2 linked regions of the Kluyveromyces lactis genome follow. The protein of the gene in region 1 binds, or shares a complex with, the protein of each later gene. Links are inferred from orthologs where the notes say so. Each region holds a gene or a part of one and is shown on either strand. Other genes may lie near its edges.

The links. Proteins that work in one complex are often made in the same cells at the same time.
Region 2: the proteins of SEC4 (region 1) and SEC2 are in contact, whole or in part, in a crystal structure (PDB 2EQB), measured with the Saccharomyces cerevisiae proteins. The link is inferred for Kluyveromyces lactis from reciprocal best matches to the Saccharomyces cerevisiae genes SEC4 and SEC2. Residues at the interface, in NP_116650.1 of Saccharomyces cerevisiae: Lys22, Lys44, Phe45, Asn46, Pro47, Phe49, Ile53, Ile55, Asp56, Phe57, Trp74, Thr84, Ile85, Ala88, Tyr89, Arg91, Gly92; in NP_014127.1 of Saccharomyces cerevisiae: Asp95, Asn98, Lys99, Val101, Glu102, Asp103, Thr105, Ala106, Phe109, Asp110, Ala112, Asn113, Val116, Ala117, Arg120, Lys121, Tyr124.

The regions. Positions count from the first base shown.
Region 1 is NC_006041.1:1,072,270-1,078,757, forward strand, and holds SEC4 (Rab family GTPase SEC4), read left to right. Parts: upstream 1-3,029; coding exon 3,030-3,674; downstream 3,675-6,488. Other genes in the region: proteasome activator BLM10, read left to right, coding at 1-2,664; VTC2 (vacuolar transporter chaperone), read left to right, coding at 4,155-6,488. UniProt on the Saccharomyces cerevisiae protein: Involved in exocytosis. Maybe by regulating the binding and fusion of secretory vesicles with the cell surface. The GTP-bound form of SEC4 may interact with an effector, thereby stimulating its activity and leading to exocytotic fusion.
Region 2 is NC_006039.1:192,813-199,502, reverse strand, and holds SEC2 (guanine nucleotide exchange factor SEC2), read left to right. Parts: upstream 1-3,259; coding exon 3,260-5,236; downstream 5,237-6,690. Other genes in the region: formin BNI1, read left to right, coding at 1-2,970; AVT2 (Avt2p), read left to right, coding at 5,499-6,690. UniProt on the Saccharomyces cerevisiae protein: Guanine nucleotide exchange factor for SEC4, catalyzing the dissociation of GDP from SEC4 and also potently promoting binding of GTP. Activation of SEC4 by SEC2 is needed for the directed transport of vesicles to sites of exocytosis.

The sequences.
Region 1 (6,488 bases):
GACTGTCAGGAACTTCACCAGTCTAGACTTACCTTATATTCAACTAATAGGAAACCATCGAAACTGGAATTGAAACTTTTGAATGATGTCATTTCTTTATCTCTATCGGTGTATCCAAACATTCACAGACCCGCACAGCAATGCATGATTCATGTTATGAAACAGTTAATTGGTTCATATTCGATAATCGTAAGAAAGGTTTTCAAAGCATTCGAAGCTGCACTTGACAGTACTGATGCCGAAGCTTCTAAGAAATTGGAGGTTTTGATCCAGGTGTTATCCATGAAGAAAATACAGAGAAAGATGATGTCAGATTATAAAAATCTTGAGAAAATGCTCACTCTTTTATTGCGTGCATCTCGTCTCGACTCTTACTTCTTAGTCTCACTTTGTGATCAAGTCATGGAGAGTGTGTCGGGCCTAATCAAAATTCCATCTGCTGTATGCCTATTTGACGAATCTGCGATTGATTGCCTAAAACCAAATGATGAAACAATAGATAAACAAGTTGCCGTTGTTAAAACAGCTAAGGATAGGAAACGAAAGGAGTATTTCTCGCAACTCGAAACCTTGCATATCAATCTTGTTGATTTCCAAAGGAAAGACCCACAGTTGCGTTGGATGTCTATTTGTCACATATTGCGTATAGTGCAGGTCATTCAAATGAATTTAGAGATTAAACCTAACCAGGAGGTGTTAATTCAAAGTTTCGAGTTAACGAAGACAAAACATCCATCTCTCATATCGAATTGTATGGTAACAATGTTAAATGTTTGTAACAAAATGATTTCCCTTGGGAACTATAACTACGATATCGATTCCACCTATCGCACAGACTATGTGAGACAATATGTGGAATACTTGGACACATCAAAACCAAACTTTGAGGAAGAATACTTTAAAGAAATTAATAACGTTGAAAATCCTAACTTTTTTGTGGACTCCAAAGCGTTTGTTGGTTGGTTATGCCGAGGAAGGCCTATGGGCGTTGTCAAAGCTGAAAATCAGATTCCATTCAACCTTAAGCCCGAAGATATGGAAATAATGAATAACTTTGGTAAGCTAATAACAAAGGAGTGGTTGTTAGATATGTGCAACATTTTCATACGGTCCAATGAGGAGCAAAGCAGCTTTAGCACGAATAGATTGAGTCTATTTGGAATCTTTGTTCACTTGATTTCTAATAACTGTTGTTCTATGAAGTACGAAGATATCCTTGACATTTGCGAAGAGATATATGAAAAAGACGATAAATCTTCAATGATTGCTTGTAGTGAGATCATTTCGGGGCTATTGTTCAGTTTGAAGTATACGGATGAGAAAAACTTACAGAAGTTTGAAAAGTTCTTAGAAAGGTTTTTGGGTAAATGGTTAGACAACAACTATAATGCCACAACAACGGATATCTGGAGCATTGTAGCTTGGTGGGTACCATCTTTCATTGATTTGAGAAGATCTGCTCAAATATACAAAAGGTTCTTGACCGTGGATGGATTGTTTGATGTTAAAAGTGAATCTTCATTAGAACTTTCTGGTAAATTGATAATAGTCACACAGGCAATTTCAGATGTAGGTTTCAAGATGGGTTCTGTTGAAAATTTACTCGATCAATTAGTCTTTGACCATCCTTCCGACGTGGTTCGTCGTGAAGTTGGTAAACTTTTCTCAGTTATCTTCTACATAAAGGCAAATGCTCATCGTCCAAACGTGAAGTCTCTTCTCGAAACGGGGGCATCTGGTCCAATTGAGATCAGAGAAATCCCAAGCTGGTTGAGAGAGAGGGCTATTAAAATCTTCAACGAAATTGAAAAAGAAAGATTGTTGATCAAGGACCTACCCGCTCAGGACATCTTGAAGACTAGGTATTTCTACTTGGCATCAACTATGTTCTATTGGGCTGCTCATTTAATCAATACTGGTGCTAGAGTGTGTCTGGGTCCATTTGCTAAATGTTATTTGGCACCCTTCTTGATGAAGTTAGACAGAATGAGAGATGTTTGTAAAATGGTCAACATTAAGGTTTACAGTATTTACGTGGAACTTGCATACATTCCAATAAGCCGCACGTTGTTACCTGACATAATTTCGATCTTGGATGACACAGATTTGACTAGCTCTCATGAATTACGTGTGAATTTGACTTTAGCAGAGAAACTTTTCTCCACACAATCGTTGGTTATGGACCATGCTGGTAAAGTGAAGATCTTAGAGTTCGTTTTGGACAAATTGTTCTGTAAGAGTTTTGTAGAGGTTCGTCTCAAGGCTTCCTATGTCCTTGCCGGTATCGTGCATAACATATCTTATGATACCGATACTTTGCACACTCTCTTGGAAAACTTCAAGCGTCAACTTGGTTCATATACTTTCGAGGAGAAAGCTGCACTCTCCAAATCCAACACAGATATTCACGGTGCGATCTTGGGTCTCGGTGCCATCATCGAAGCATTCCCGTACGTTTCACCGTTACCAAATTGGATTCCAGAGAATATGGCACTACTAGCGTCCTGGGCAAGAACAAGCGGTATGTGCGGTGCTGATGCAAAGAACATCATCTCTAGATACAAGAAAGTTAGAGCAGATACCTGGCATTTGGACAGATACCAGTTCACCTCGGAGCAATTAGAAGATATGGAAGGTGTTCTTTGGAGGAGTTACTACGCCTGAGAAGTTGCACAATCGACACAGATGACCCACAAGCTGCGTATGCACATGAATATATATGTACATCTACAAGTATAAATCGTATAATTTAACTTGACATTGGGTATGCCTATCACCATATACGAATTCGATCAGTATCTAGATTTTGGACAAATATTGTTTGAAAGGGTGAAAGCAGGATAGCCATCACGAAAGGCACTAACCCAAACACTTTACGGCCGAGCTATTAAAACCCAGATTCTGTTGACCAGATATAACCAGCTCGCCACTCCTCCAATATATCGAGATAAAATAACAGTGTTGAACTGTGATATCAATTTTTTTCACTTAATTGAAGCGTGAAGGAAACAAGGGAGATTGAAACTATAATGTCTGGATTAAGAACGGTTTCTGCTAACGGCAGCACGAATAAAAACTATGATTCTGTCATGAAGATTTTACTTCTAGGTGATTCCGGTGTAGGTAAATCATGTCTTTTGGTTCGTTTTGTTGAAGATAAGTTCACACCAACTTTCATCACCACAATCGGTATCGATTTCAAGATTAAAACCGTAGACATCAATGGGAAACGTGTGAAGTTACAACTTTGGGATACTGCTGGCCAGGAACGGTTCAGAACCATCACAACCGCATACTACAGAGGTGCCATGGGTATTGTATTGATTTACGATGTTACTGACGAAAGAACTTTTGAAAACATCAGACAATGGTTCTCCACTGTTAACCAACATGCTAGCGAGGATGTAGTAATGCTGCTAGTCGGAAATAAAAAGGACATGGATACAAGAACCGTGTCTTACGAACAAGGTGAAGCTCTTGCTAAGGAGCTAGGGATCCCATTCATTGAAGCCAGTGCCAAAGACGACACCAACGTCAGCGAAATCTTCTTCACATTGGCCAAGTTGATCCAAGAAAAGATCGATGATGGTAAGATGGAAGGAAAGGCTGAAAAGGAGGGAAATGTAAGCATTCGTGGCTCAGGCTCTTCAGGCTCCAAGTCCAATTGCTGCTAAACCACAGATCAGAGCGTACAATAAGAAATAACAACCTATGCATTGGCTTTGTGTGTGTACATATATATATATATTCAAATGGTATGTATTAGAAAGTTCAAAGGTAACTTTACACGACCATTCCAAATCAGGTGATTTACACGTGACGTAAATAATCACATGACCATCTCCACGTGCCACTCAAGATCAATATAAAATTGCCCAACTTTCCCAATATAAGGGCATCGATGATTATATAAAGAGTGCATTAGAAGGAAATGCAAATAAAGAAACAGATATAAGGATGGACTTAAAGATTTTATTTAGCCAATAAACAGTTGGGTAGATTTCTATTTTCTTGTTCAGCTTCCTTGTATCTTGAATTGAGAAGTGTAATCCTGATCACCATCTTCAGCTTTATAACCAGGAAGGGTTGCTGTTTATTATAACCCTTATAATATTGTCAAAAGAGGGATTTGGTCTTTTTAAATTCAAGGCACAATGCTATTTGGTGTGAAGCTAGCTAATGATACTTATCCCCCATGGAGGGATTCTTATATCGATTATGAGAAATTGAAAAAGTTGTTAAAAGAGTCCGTTATCAGAGACTCTGAAATGTTCAATGGTTCTTCTTCTGGCCGTGGGAAGAAGGGGAAGAAGGGGAAGAGTAATGTAGATGAATATTGGAGTGAGAAGGATGAATCCAAATTTGTTTCCGCGTTGGATGAGGAGTTGGAGAAAGTTTATGGATTTCAAACTTCTGCTTACAATAAGATTATGAATACCTTGAATAGGCTTGAAGAAGAAACTGAAAGTGAAGAGAATCTACATACGATTGATTTTCAGGCGTTCCATCAACAATTGGAAGAATGTTTGAGTCAGGCCCAGGAATTGGACAATTTCCAACGTTTAAATTTCACTGGTTTCACCAAGATTGTGAAGAAACACGACAAATTGCATCCAGGTTACCCATCTGTCAAGTCATTGTTACAAGTGAGATTAAAATCGTTACCGTTCCATTCGGAAGAATACTCTCCATTGTTGTACAAGATCTCTTATCTATACAACATCTTGCGTAACAACTTCTCATCTGTATCGAAATCTTTGGCTAACTCATCAAAACTTTCCTCTATGCCAAAGAACGAACAGATGTCTACACAATCCTTCAAATTCTGGATTCATCAAGATAATTTAATGGAAGTGAAAACTAATATCTTGAGACGTTTGCCAGTGTTAGTCTATGCTCAAGCACCCTCTGAGAACGAAGACTTGATCGATAGATTGGAGTCTAATCTTTTGAATGACGACGGTGGTCCAGCAATGTCCAGTTCCAGTAACGAAACCGATGTGGGTCATTTGAACAAAAGTTTTGAACCTGTCATCTCCACGCTATATTTCGATAACGAGTTCTTCGAATTGTACAACAACAAGTTATTGAAAACCAACTCTGCTCCAACTTTGAGATTGAGATGGATTGGTAAATTGAACGACAAGCCGGACATTTTCCTTGAAAAGAGAATGTTTGTAGACAACGAGGATTCTTCTTCGACCGATTTCGATGAAACAAGGATTAAGTTGAAACCAAAATTCATCAATGGATTTATTTTCAACGGTGATACCGAATATAAGGAAATGATGCTCAAGAAATTGAAGGAATCCGGCTCAAGCAACGATACTACCAAGAAATTGGAAAACAATTTCGATTCCATCCAACAATTCATTCTTGAAAACGAATTACAACCAGTTCTAAGAACTTTATACCAAAGAACTGCATTCCAAATTCCAGGTGATGACCGTGTAAGAATCACTATCGATTCAGATATCCTTTACATCCGTGAAGATTCCTTTGACAAGGACCGTCCAATCAGAGACCCTCATCACTGGCACAGATCTGACATTGATTCTAACGTGGCCCATCCATTGAAATTGGTTAGACCTGGCGAATACGCTAAGTTCCCATACTCTGTTATGGAAATCAAAGTGAAGACATCTGCGTCTTCTATTGCCTCATCCGAGAATGCACTAAGCGTTCTAGCCCATGGTGGTAACCAAGTGAAATGGATCGCTGATTTAGCCAATTCCCATTTGGTGAAAGAAGTGCCAAAGTTCTCCAAATACGTACAAGGTGTGGCCTCATTGTTCGGTGACGATGAAAAATTGGATATGTTACCATTCTGGTTACCAGACTTGGAATTCGATATCAGAAAGGATCCAAACCAGGCCTACGAGGAAGAGAAGAAGAAATTAGAAAGACAACAGGAGCATGTCGCCAAGATGGACAAGATGAAGAGATTGTCAGTGGTAGCCGGTGGCGGAGACCAGTCTTCACCAGCTGCACCATCGACAAGTGCCTTGAACGAAGAAGACGAACCTGAGGAAGACGAAGAGTCTTCCGAGGATGAAGATTCTGCTACCTTGGCCAGAAACAAAGGGAAATCAGATGCAAGAAAACAGAAACATCGTCATCGTCATGAACCTAACATTTTCAATCTTTTGACAGGTAGAGACACCACTGACAGCAAACTCACCGGTGTCGATTCTGAAGACGAAGAAATTGAATTACCACCGGGTGTCAAGAAACCAACAAGTTACATCAAGAACGCTGGTCCTGTGAAAGTCGAAGCAAAGGTATGGCTAGCCAACGAACGTACGTTCAACAAATGGCTCTCAGTGACCACTTTACTCAGTGTGTTAACCTTTTCCATCTCGAGTTCTGTGAAGAAGGCAAACATGCCATTCTTGGCCGAGTGGTTAACTTACATCTACTTTGCATTGACTGTATTTACTGGCCTATGGGCGTACCAAACCTACATCAACAGAATAAACGTCATCAGA
Region 2 (6,690 bases), on another chromosome or scaffold:
TTAGCTGAGTTAAGGAAAAAGCTAGCAATAATACAAAATGAAAGCAACGATATAACAAAGTTCAATATTGAGGCCAGAGTGAATGAATTATTCCAAGACAAAAAGTTAGCTGCCTTGGATAGATTGAAAGACTTAGAGAATAAATACAATGGTTTCCACATTGACTTTGCAGATGACCCTGAGTTAAAAGAGCTCCTGACGCAGTCCAGTAATGGCGGACCTTCTTTGGATCCAACAATTGTACAAAGAAAGGTAGAAGAAATGAATTCAATTATTGATGAACTCAATGCATTGAAAGAAGAAATGAAAAATAGACCTAAAACCGGCTCAAGTTCATCATCTTCGTCATCGTTGTCTTCGGCATCTTCCTCTTCAGAAGATGGTTCATCACAATCACAAGCATCTCATGGGTCGGATATTGTATCCAATGGATCATCATTCCTTGAATCATTATCTCAAAAGTATTCAACTGGACAACAGACCGCCACGTCTACGAATGGTGGTCGTGTGGGACGCGAGACTAGGTATCCTGGAAGCGGTTATCATAGAAAATCGTTTTTGAATAGGTTAAAGAATACTACAGTGAACCCAACAGCGACGAGCGAACATCTGCCACCGTTTTTGACTGAGCTAAAATCAAAAGTTAAAATGACAGATGACATCGATGATGTCCCTGTGGGTATTGGCATATCTGTATCTCCTGGTGCATCGTTAAAGAGTACTGAAAAACCAGTCAGTCAATTTACAGAAAAACCCATTTTGACAGATGCTCAACAGGGAAGCGACAAGATCTCGAATGTGATCTTGAATGATAAATATTCGCCAACGACAATGCAGTCTGAAATCGGGGATTCCGAATCTATTGAAGCGAATCCAACAACAACAATCGTATCCGCTGCTTCGCCACCGCCACCACCACCACCGCCGCCACCACCTCCCTTACCGGTATCATTAGGTGGAACTCTTACTGCAGTACCATCTCCTCTCCCTACTGCATTATCCCCTGGTATTGCTCCTCCCCCTCCTCCTCCCCCTCCCCCACCTCCACCATTTCCATCGGCAAACACACCCAAAGCGACAGTCACAAGTCCCTTACTACCGCAATCACCATCTCTCTTTGAAAGGTATCCTCGTCCCAAGAAGAAGCTCAAACAATTACACTGGGAAAAAATTGACAATGCTGGGGATTCTATTTGGAAAAATGCTCAAGCAGAAAAGGTTGCTGACGATCTATTCGAAAGAGGTGTATTAAGTCAATTAGAAAAAGCGTTTGCTGCCAGAGAAACCAAATCATTAAAAGGAAAGTCTAAGGAAGCAAATGAAAAGATTACCTTTTTATCGAGAGATGTTTCCCAACAATTTGGTATTAACCTACATATGTTCTCCAACCTCGATGTTAAAGATGTTGTTGGGAAGGTAATGAAATGTGATAGAGAATTCCTATCTACTCCTAGCGTAATAGAGTTTTTGTCAAAGCCTACCATAATTGAAGTAACGAATAATTTGGCACGATATTTCAATCCTTACAGTACTGATTGGGAGGGAGTGACATCTGTTGACGATGCAAAACCCCCCGAAAAAGATCCTAATGAACTTCAACGTGCAGATCAACTATATGTTGAATTTATGATTAACTTACAACCGTACTGGGGGTCTCGTATGAGAGCAATCACTATGATAACTACTTATGAAAAAGACTATTCGGATTTGGTCACTAAACTAAGAAAAATTGATAGAGCAGTTCAGTGCATCGAACAATCTGAAAGTCTCAGACATGTTTTCGATGTTATTTTGGCAGTTGGTAATTATATGAATGATTCTTCAAAGCAAGCTCAGGGGTTCAAGCTAAGCACCCTACAAAGATTGACCTTCATTAAAGATGAAAAGAACAGTATGACTTTTTTGAACTATGTGGAAAAGATAATTCGTGAAAATTATCCCGAATACAGCCATTTCGTGGAAGAGCTTGAGCCTATTTTTAGCGTAACAAAAATATCCATCGAACAGTTGGTAACTGATTGTAAGGAATTTTCACAGTCAGTAATTAACGTTGAGCGTTCTATTGAAATTGGAAACCTAAGTGACCCTTCTAAATTCCATCCGTTAGATCGTGTTTTAAATAAGGTAGTACCGGTTTTACCTGAAGCTAGAAAGAAAGCTGATCTTCTAAGCGATGAAATCAAATTAAGTTTGCTGGAATTTGAAAATCTAATGAAGAAATTTGGCGAAGATGCCAACGACAAGTTCTCTAAAAACTCTTTCTTCCAAAAGTTTGCAGATTTCATTACCGAATTCAAGAAAGCTAAAACTCATAATGTCAAACTGGAAGAAGAAGAACGTGCTTACGAAAGGAGAAAGAAAATGATTGAAGATCAACAACGGAAACAACAGGAGGCAGATAGTAAGGCAACAGCAAAAAATTTAAGCACTTCGCAAGAACCGTCTGATGATAGGGACGATATAGAGAAGCTTTTGGATAAATTGAAAAATGCAGCTCCTTCAAAAGGAGATCCATCTAGTACTCGTAAACGTGCATTGGCTAGAAAGAAATTACTAGATGGTAAATCCGGGGCATCAATTTTTGATAACATCACTGCTGATAGTACTATCGAAGCTTTCGTGGAACAAAATAGAACGCTTACCGAATCGCCTACTGCTAAAAAATCGGCCAGCCTTCCTGAAACTGAAAGCTTGTCGTCATCAAAACAAGACCCTGCAGATAGAGCAAGGAATTTATTACTAGAATTAAGAGGCCCTGACGAAAGAAAAGACGCTTCTCCATCCCCAATCAAAGCAAAGGACAAGCTTAGGGATCTGAAAAAAAAAGATTCTTCTGTGAAAGTAGACCAACCTAATAAACTACAATTTGTTGGAAGCCTAGAAGTTGGACCTCATCCTAAACCGTTATCGCCAACCCAAGATTTGATGGACACATCGAACTCATCGGAAGATGAGTTTATTGATGCTTAAAGACTACATAATACTCATTTCAGCATTTATTTAATAACTACAATATGTGTATACTTGCATAGACATAATTCGTATACCGAAATTGACATTTTCATTTTAAAACCGGGTAATGAATTTAGTTCCAATGTTTGATGAAATCAAGAATGTAATATATATCAACCAAATTACCAGAGGACTAATGAAATACATAAATACTCGCCTGTGTAATTTACTTCAATAAATGAATCACTGATTTTGCTAACAGAAAGTACTTGCTACAAGCAAAGCTGACGGTAGCCTTATTTTTAGAATGGCGGATCAAGAAGAGTCAAAGCGCATATCTTTGCAAGTGACATCTTTATCTACGCAATTAATCGAAAGCATTGATAAACAATCCCAATTAGAAGAACAGTTACTAGTGGCTAAGAAAACCATTTCCACTCAGCAGAATATTGCGAACTCATATAATGAATTGAAGCAGGAACTACAATCTTTGAAATTACAATACGAAACCGATAAGACAAAATTCAAGAAACAGGAAGAAATTTGTGCTGATGCCGAAAAGAAAGTGGCTACATTGAACCAAGAAATTGAAGACTTAACCGCTTCTTTATTCGATGAGGCTAATAACATGGTAGCAGATGCAAGGAAAGAACAAAATGCTGTAGAAATATTAAACTCGAAGCTCAAAGAGCAGTTGAAAGAAAAGGATTTATTACTTGATACATTGTCAATGCAGTTAAAGAATCTCAAAAACGTACTCTACAAGTTCGAAAATGATTTCAATTCTTCGAAGAACGTTTCACTTTCAGATTCTGCGACGTCCTCTACCACATCAATTGATAGATCAACCACCAACCTAACCTCAGTAAATGATAATTCATTGTCGTTTCAAGGCGTGTTATTTTCCCCTCTTCTGCATTCGTTAAGGTATGACGTTCCTCTATACACAGAATATTTGAAATTTCTTGCTGTGCTACCACAATGCGAAAACCTTCAACAAACCACTTCGGAATCGAAACTATTAAGGAGATTAATAAACTATGAAATAAGTCCCGTCTTGCGACTTGATAATGCCTCCGGAGTAGGATGGCTTGTAAAAAGAAATTTAATGAATTTAATGATGGAAGGACTGGTATCAATCGAGCCGATTAGTGGAATAAATGAAACATATCGTACAGGATATAGTTCTCCAAGTATTCCCGACTCTCCAGAGGTCGAAAACAAAGATTCTCATTTGTTTAGCCGTCCGGTGAATTCTCCGCCTGTTGCTATGGTAGAACCATGTGCTTTCTGTGGTGAAAATAGAAACGACATCCTTGAACATGGAAGACTTTATATCTTCAAAACATATCAAAAGCTCGAAAATGGTAAAAATGAGTTAACAAATCAATTTCCCGTGTGCCATTACTGCTTGTTGAAATTAAGACAAGTTTGTGAAATTTTCGCATTTTTGAGATCATTGAGATCTGGTGCTTGGCATCTAGAAAAAGTAGCTTTGGCATCAATACATCAAGGCAAGGTCAATGCTTACTCCGAGGTAACTAAAGCATCAAGGCCGAAAATGAAATCCAAAAGATTAAGTATTTTCCAAGGATTAAAGCAATCGCAATCTTCAACTCCTATCATAGAAAATGGTCCACAATTTGCCGACAAAAACGGACTACCAACAACCAATATCCAGAGGTCATGGGCCCGTCTTTCACAACTACGAGCATCTTTACAATGGTCGCATATTGGCGTATGGTCTCTCGACGAATCGGTAGCTACAGATATTGCCCCATCAACAGATATTTCCAAAGCTAAAAGTTTTGAAGAAGAACAAGGTCTAGGCATTGCCTCAAACAATATCCCTGTCCCTATAACACATGAGGAGGATGAAACTTTCGATTTTGAAGCGGATACCGCAAACTCTATCAGTGTGGATGAAACAGTCAATGGTATACGTCACACAGATCAATCATCGGATGATATTGGCGATCATAATGAGAAAACTAATGAGAAGACTGCCACGGATTTACAAGGAAAGAATGAAGAGAAAAAAAGCAAAAAAATTGAACCACAGCATTCAAGACAGCCCTCACAATCATCCACAGTATTAAATGATAACAAAGAAAGTGCCGAATCAGCTCATGATACCCATGCATCATCTGAAGAGCCAAGTGATTTATTGGAAACTTATCAAGATCTGTCCGCTGATCTTGAACCCGAATCTGAAAAGCCTGAAAATTTGGATAATTCTGATGAAGAGGATAGTTTTAACGATGCAAAGGATGTCGTCAACTAGTGTCATGCACAATCTTTCCTCCTACCTTGCATACTTTGTAACAATAAATACCTGATGTAGAGAGTTTCATTTCAATGCACGTGATTTGTCAAATTTCGTCATCCTTATCATACCCAAAAGACTAAGCACCAAATTTATATATTGCAAGTATTTCTTCTTGCCTTAGATAAAACAATATGGCTGTAAGAAGGTTGTAGTAGCAAACGGAGCGCACGATAGTTGAACCGCTTATGGCCTACTTTGTGAATTATAATTAATACAGATGCAGATAGCCGCTGATAAAAAGTATGCAAAACTAGCTCTGTCTGATAAACAATCGAAGAATGAACCAAATCCGTTTGAACTGGAGTTAACGTCATTTGATGACACCGCGAAGACAGCTGACAGCGCAGTTGACCAAAACATTTTTAATGTTAATGAAGAAGACCCATTAACAGATGACATCTATTTATCTAATGAGGCAAAATCTAACAGGTACATGGCTTTCATGAACATGGCGAATAGTATTTTAGGATCAGGAGTGATAGGGCAACCTTTTGCGATGAAAAATTGCGGAATCATCGGCGGATTATTTGCGACCATATTAATGTCCATACTGGTTGATTGGACCATTCGTCTGATTGTGATCAATTTGAAATTAACCGGTAAGAGTACTTATCAAGCATCTGTAGAAACAGCAATGGGTCAATGGGGAGGACTTTTGATTTTAGTATCCAACGGCCTATTTGCATTTGGTGGTTGCGTTGGGTTTTGCATTATCATTGGAGATTCAATACCTCATGTTTTGAGCGCCTTTTTCCCTTCTCATACAGATCTTTTTCATCGGAATGTCATTATCACATTGGTGACTTTGTTCATATCGTTTCCGCTATCTCTTAACAGGGATATCTCCAAGCTTTCAAAGACATCAATGCTTGCACTTTTAGGACTTATTGCAATTGTTATTATCATAGTTGTTAAAGCTCCACTAGTAAGCGGCGAATATAAAGGAACTTTCCATTTACATCAGTTGTTTATTACACCAAGGATATTTCAAGGCATTTCTGTGATTTCATTTGCGTTAGTATGCCATCACAACACGAGTTTTATATTTTTCTCGTTGAGAAATCCCTCTTTAAAAAGATTTAATCAGTTGACACATGTCAGTTTAATTCTTTCTTGCATCGTTTGCTTAACAACTGCTTACTCTGGGTTCCTTAACTTTAAAGACAAAACAGTGGGTAATATTCTTAATAATTTCCCTTCTGATGATAATGTGATTAATTTTGCCAGACTTCTTTTGGGATTTAACATGCTTACTACGTTTCCTTTGGAAATCTTCGTTTTGAGAGATGTGATAAGGGACATAATATATTACAACAAAGACGACCCTGAACCAGTAAAGTTAACGACAAAAATGCATGCCCTCATAACGTCTGGTTTAGTTTTGATTATAATGTGTATCGCTTTATCAA